2 linked regions of the Arabidopsis thaliana genome follow. The protein of the gene in region 2 binds, or shares a complex with, the protein of the main gene of each other region. Each region holds a gene or a part of one and is shown on either strand. Other genes may lie near its edges.

The links. Proteins that work in one complex are often made in the same cells at the same time.
Region 1: rps8 (region 2) and PSRP3/2 share a complex: the UniProt entries of both Arabidopsis thaliana proteins name them as parts of the 30S ribosomal subunit.

Annotation. Positions count from the first base shown.
Region 1 is NC_003076.8:5,141,309-5,145,066, reverse strand, and holds PSRP3/2 (Ribosomal protein PSRP-3/Ycf65), read right to left. Parts: upstream 2,078-3,758; 5' UTR 1,968-2,077; coding exon 1,701-1,967; intron 1,447-1,700; coding exon 1,162-1,446; 3' UTR 975-1,161; coding exon of another isoform or gene 525-974; 3' UTR 461-524; downstream 1-460. Other genes in the region: AT5G15780 (Pollen Ole e 1 allergen and extensin family protein), read left to right, coding at 1-169; GNA1 (glucose-6-phosphate acetyltransferase 1), read left to right, coding at 525-974; AT5G15750 (Alpha-L RNA-binding motif/Ribosomal protein S4 family protein), read right to left, coding at 2,366-2,597, 2,702-2,776, 3,256-3,363, 3,485-3,618. UniProt on the Arabidopsis thaliana protein: Component of the chloroplast ribosome (chloro-ribosome), a dedicated translation machinery responsible for the synthesis of chloroplast genome-encoded proteins, including proteins of the transcription and translation machinery and components of the photosynthetic apparatus.
Region 2 is NC_000932.1:79,438-82,500, forward strand, and holds rps8 (ribosomal protein S8), read right to left. Parts: upstream 1,036-3,063; coding exon 631-1,035; downstream 1-630. Other genes in the region: rpl36 (ribosomal protein L36), read right to left, coding at 52-165; rpl14 (ribosomal protein L14), read right to left, coding at 1,259-1,627. UniProt on the Arabidopsis thaliana protein: One of the primary rRNA binding proteins, it binds directly to 16S rRNA central domain where it helps coordinate assembly of the platform of the 30S subunit.

The sequences.
Region 1 (3,758 bases), on a different chromosome or scaffold from region 2:
TCCGCCTTCACTACCGCCACCACCACCTTCTTTCCCTGTTCCGCTCCCTCCGGTCCCTGGACTCCCTGGCATCCCTCCGGTCCCTCTTATCCCTGGAATCCCTCCGGCCCCTCTCATCCCGGGAATCCCTCCTCTTTCACCTTCCTTTTCTAGTCACCATCAACCCTAAATTAGCAATCCTTTCCTTACATTTCCAATTATGTAATCTATATGTATCATCCGCTTTAAATTGTTACTTTTTTCCTCTGCATTTTCACTTGTTGGCTTGTTGTCATTTCAATAAATATTGTTTACTATGGAGTTTTTATCTTGCTGCTTTTGTTACATCAAAAGTCAATTTAAAAAACAAATGGCCCATTTTGACTTCATTAAGAGATTCGGAAACTTTTTGTAACTATCTAAAAGAATAAGTACCTTTTCGTAATTATCACATTTGTTTTTCTATGGGTGATTATATTCAGTTCCAGTGAGTGACTGGATCTTATAAAAAAAAACTCAAATTCAAAATTATCCGATCTGATTCTATGGCTGAGACATTCAAGATCCGAAAACTGGAGATCTCCGATAAGAGAAAAGGATTCATCGAGCTTCTAGGTCAACTAACCGTCACCGGATCAGTAACAGACGAAGAATTCGATCGGCGATTCGAAGAAATCAGATCGTATGGTGACGACCACGTGATCTGCGTGATCGAAGAAGAAACTTCGGGAAAAATCGCTGCTACGGGTAGTGTGATGATAGAGAAGAAGTTTCTGAGGAATTGCGGTAAAGCTGGGCACATTGAAGACGTTGTTGTGGATTCAAGGTTTCGCGGGAAACAGCTGGGGAAGAAAGTTGTTGAGTTTCTTATGGATCATTGCAAATCAATGGGTTGCTATAAGGTGATTCTAGATTGTAGTGTGGAGAACAAAGTGTTCTATGAGAAATGTGGGATGAGTAATAAATCGATTCAAATGTCTAAGTACTTCGATTAAACGTTCATCATGATGATGATGATGATCTTTTGTTTTCTTGTTTTGAATTCGCCATTTTAATGATAGAAGTTTTTTCGAGTTTCGATGATTACACAGAGGACTAATGATAGACTAAACAACACAAAAGCTTTAGACTTTGAAAAGTTAATGATACCTATGATAAACAGATATATCTGGTGAATCCAAATCAAGACAAATCTCCACCGCTTGATTGCCAAAGATTGATGATGTCTGTAGCTTGGTTAAGGAGGAAGACACGATGAAGCTCAGAGATCCAAGGCTTGCTCTCTAACAAAGTTTTGAGCTCTTCCCAAGCATCTTTCCTAGGCCAGAAGTAGTATGGACTAAGTGGGATTGTTCCAAATCCTGGAATCATATGGTCTAATGCAACTCCTATGTCCTTTTGCATCCATACAAACTTCAGTACCACCTTTGGTTTCTCTAGCGGCTTCACTAACACACGCATCTTCTTCTGCAATATAAGATGACGATAACAAGGGAAGAATCATACATCTCTACTTCCTTTCACAAAAGTTTTCACAATGAAGCAACATAAGGGAGGTTTAACACTAGCACACACTGCCTCTTCTACCACAATTAAATAGATGGAGACAATACATTTGGTTTACCACATTTTCGTTCAAATGACAAAAAAAGGCTGCAACTTTGTCTAACAAGCTTATAACCCCAATTTGTTCCAAGAGAAGTTTTTTGACGATGACTGACCTTTCCAAGTGGCGGAGATTCAGATTCTGGTAGTTCATGAGAGAAGGTAAGATTGGAGGGGGGATATGCGAATATTCCGGGATTGATACAGGAGTGTCTCGCCGGAATTTGACCCTGATTCCAAGTAGAGCACGAAAGCGATGGTCGAGAAGAGGGTTTGAGCTTCGTCGATAGAGAGATATGAGCTATGGGTTTCGAAGAGAGCTTCTGAGAAGGTGAAGCTGTTCTGAACCCAAAAGAAGCACTCTGATTTGCTTGAACCGCCATTTCAGCTGCGTTTGAAGCTTCTAAGCGAGCAATTTTATTTTGAGAGACCGGGGAAAGCAAAAACACAGGTTTTGCGATTTTCTGGTCGGGTCGGGTCGGATCGAATCAAACGGGTTTTGTAATTTGAAGTGTCAAATAATAATTAGATTTAATATTTTATGTTCATCCATTTCTGTGGCTCCAACTTATACAATTTGACGATAATATGAGTTAGATTCAATATTTTCATGACATTTGTTTTCAAGTTTCTTCTTGCAAATAGATCGAAAGTAAGATTAAAGACAAGGGAATAGTAGCACATTTGCATATTCAAAAATCCAAACAAACCCTGCAATAGTAGTAGCAGTGAACCTTTTTTGGCTTTTACAAAACATCAGTCTTTTTTAACTTCCTCAAAGCTAAGCAAGCATGTCATAATCATCCAATGTGTCATTGTACTCAAGAACCTTTCGTTTAATCTTGGATGAATCAACCCAAGTGATGAAATCTTCCATGTTCCGAGTTACTAAGAAAGCTGGATCAGTAATTGTTTCTGGTCCTACACGAACGTGTCCTTGCTCTATGTATGTCACAGCTTCTTTGTGGTGCTCTGCAAACTTCAGGTGAACCAGCACAGTAGATAGCCTACGCCTGCAAATAAAAAAAAAGAACCGATATGAGGCAAACGAAATGAGAACATTTGGCTATCAAGGGTTTAAGTAACTGCCTATATAGGCTCTTGCATATACTCTTACCTACAGAAGGATGAAACTGATAACCGCTCAGTTAGAGTCAAGCTTTTCCTAGTCGGTATAACACCCATGTTATATCTGCCGTTTCAAGCGTACATGTAAGAAACACAAGTCAGTCAGCCATTAAGAGAACAAGTTTTCTCATTGCAGAGTGGAACTACGCAATCAACAAGTTTCAGTAGGATGGCTCTTTTTCCCTATACAATAAGCCTATATTATATAGTAACTTAGCTCTATGTAGAAGCTATTCAAGAAACAGATTCTGAAAGAAACCCATTAGATCACACATTTTACCAGGATGAATTCAACCTCTAATGGATTTCAAACCAACGGTCCTAAAATCTATATAGAAGCATAAGGACCCCCAATTTTAATTATCTCTAAAAGTGGTTAACAAGAAAAACAACAGGAGGTCTCTAAGATAAGATCGGTGTAAAAAACTGCAGAAAATGATCAAGTCTCATGTTCTACGACCTAAATCTAGAGAAAACAAAGAACCATTGCTTGTAATAAGCTCTATACTTGAACAAACTGGTATATATATTTAAAAAACTCACAGCTTCTCCAAAAGCATATCAGTCATCTGAATACGAAAAGGATCTGCTGGATCCATTTGTTTCATTATATTCGTCAGTTTCTGCACCATCCTACACAATCCTGAATACCTGCCCAAAAGAAAAAACATTCTCAAGAATCAGAAAAAGACCATTGTTCATCACAAAACACTCGAACCAGAAGAAGAAGAATAAGTAGAACAGAGCTTTAAGAGCAAATAAAGGTACCAACTTTTTGTAATCATCACGAGAGCCCATGTGGTATCGATACGTAATCTCGTTTTCCCGATGGTTACCTTCTCTTTTCCATTCTAAGAAATTTACTTTCTTTATAAGCTTCTTCTCGTGATACTTGAGCTTTCTCATCTCGGACGGTACTGATGATATGCAAATTATACGAAATTAGGGTTTATTTGTCCAATAATTCAGATTTGAAATCCTGAATAATCATAAACCCTTGAACATTCTAATGGGAACAACATAGGATTTATCAATCTCTGTACAAT
Region 2 (3,063 bases):
TTCCAACTCTTTGGAAGTGCCTTTTCTTTTACTTTAGTTCCTTTAGTAAGATTATCCTTGTCTTTGTTTATGCCTCGGGTTGGAACAAATTACTATAATTCGTCCCCTCCTGCGGATTAGTCGACACTTTTCACAAATTTTACGAACGGAAGCCCTTATTTTCATAGTTGTTATTCCTTAATTCTGTGAATATATTTATTGGTGGACGAAAAAAAGGTTTCTTGATATTTTTGAATCTTGAATTGTATCTTCGTGAAAGGAATGGTTGAAATTGAAAAAACACTTACTCATTTGAATACTTATTATGGAGTCTAGAAAATGGCTGTCCCCTTATTAACTTATACTTAAGAACTTACTCAAAATTTTACCTTTTTATCCTATAGGTATACCTATACAAAAATATGTCGAATCCTTTCAGAAGCATGAACGAAAAAAAATCTTTAGTATCTAAACAAAATCGAACCATGCCGTTCGGAAGTGATTAAGAAAGAAAACTTTTATTAATTCATTTTTTCTTTAATTTCATTCGAAGTAAAACATCCGAAACTTTTTTGAACAGGGGTGGTATTACACAACCCCCTTTTTTCACAAATTGTAAGTTACAGATATCTAATTTTTATATTAGAAGGATTACCATATATAACACAAAATTTCTCCGCCGATTCTTTTTAGTCGAGCTTCTCGGTCTGTCATTATACCTTGAGAAGTCGAAAGGATTACAATTCCTATTCCGCCTAAAATTCGTGGAATTCGTTGAGAGTTAGAATAGATTCGTAGACCCGGTCGACTTATTCTCTTTAAATTTAAAATCGTTTTGTAGGATTCTTTCTTATTTCGTCTATGTCTTAGGGTTAAAATCAAAAAATATTGGTTGTTTTCGCGATGTTTCCTTACGTTTTCGATAAAACCCTCTCGTAAAAGGATTTTAACAATACTTTCCGTGATGTTAGTCGATCCTATCCGAACCGTTCCTTTTCTATTCATGTCAGCATTTCGTATAGAGGTTATTATATCAGCAATGGTGTCTTTCCCCATGATAAGTTAAAATTCCTTATTGTTCTATAATTTTGATATAATCAACATGTTCTTTTTCTTTTATTTATATATAGATATAGACGAATTATATATTAATATATGAATTAAATTCTTAATATTTTATTATTAAGGGTATATGCGTGATACAGAATCTATTAATTAATTTTATTTCAATACCTGTTTTTTTAATCCGATACTAACTATCGCTATCGATATTTAGATCTTATAATACCTCAGGAGCTAATGAAACTATTTTAGTAAAGTTTAATTGTCTCAATTCCCGTGGGATCGCCCCAAAAACTCGAGTTCCTTTTGGATTTCCTTCTTGATCAATGACAACTGCGGCATTGTCATCATATCGTATTATCGTCCCATTGTTACGTTTGAGTTCTTTACAAGTACGTACAATTACAGCTCTAATCACTTCTGATCTTTCTAGAGGAGTATTTGGTATTGCTTCTTTGATTACAGCAACAATAACGTCACCAATATGAGCATATCGGCGATTACTAGCTCCTATTATTCGAATACACATCAATTCTCTAGCCCCGCTGTTGTCTGCTACATTCAAATAGGTTTGTGGTTGAATCATATCATTTTTTTTGTATCTCTTCTTTTAATGCAAAGGACGAAGTAAAAAAATATTGTTTGTCAAAAAAAGAAAACTTATAATCTTTTTACCCTTAAATGTTATTTAGTTTTTTCATTATATATTCCTATTCAGAAATAATGAATTGGGTTTTTATAGGCATTTTTGATGCCGCTATTGAAATAGCTTTTCTTGCTATATTTTCGGGTACACCACCCATTTCATAAAGGATTTTACCTGGTTTAACCACAGCTACCCAATACTCAGGGGATCCTTTCCCAGAACCCATACGCGTTTCCGCAGGTCTTACTGTAACTGGTTTGTCTGGAAATATACGTACCCAAATTTTTCCACCACGTCGTACATTTCGTGTCATTGCGCGTCGCCCTGCTTCTATTTGTCTAGATGTGATCCAAGCGGGTTCAAGTGTTTGAAGAGCATATCTGCCAAAACAAATACGATTCCCACGAGAAGATATTCCTTTTAGTCTTCCTCGATGTTGTTTACGAAATCTGGTTCTTTTTGGGTTATAGTTGATGGTTCTAAATTAGAAATTCCATCTCTACTACAGAACTGAACGTGAGAGTTTCTTCTCATCCAGCTCCTCGCGAATAAAAGGACTAAAAAAGCTTGTATTAAGATATAGTTAATGATTAATTCTATTAATCATGATATTCAATTTCATCTGATCTCTTCTAAATTTGTGTATGTCTTTTTCGAAATGGAATCCAAGATTAATTCTATTTATTTAAAAATAACGTAACGTAATATCATCATCTCGAATGTCGTTTTTGTTAGAATATTCTAACAAATCCTTATTTTCTTTTATCTTTTTAATTTTTGTTTTTTATTACTTTTATTAAAAAAAAAGTATTCGCCGGCGAATATTTACTCTTTCAATATCTATATTAAGTTTGTTGTTTATCCCAGGAGATCTCTGAATAAAAATAAGAATAGATAATAATCTGGTTTATTCCGCCATCCTGTCCAATGAATTACTAAGATTTATTTTTCAATAGAATCCTCTATATTCATGGGTTCCGTCGTTCCCATCGCTTCTTGATTAATCATTAGGCCCGAATTCTACAATGGAGCTCTTATATGAAATCGGGAATTTCATTTTTTTTATTTGTTTTTGAGTCAATTTTCTTAGTTTTTATTGGCTCAAGGCTCTTAATTTTTTTTGTTTTCGGAACAGATTTATCTAATTATTCTGAATGAATCTGTATTGATGCTTTATTACATTGCTTTTCTTACAGTGACCTCATAGACTTTCCAAATTGGAATAATATATCATTAATATTCAATTTTTTCTCTCTTTCTTTCATCCTTCCACTGAATCCGCATACTTTTCGATTACCTTTCATAACTTATAATTATAGTTCTTTATTCTTTTTTTTTTTCAGTTGCTACAATAATATGATCAATCCATCATATCT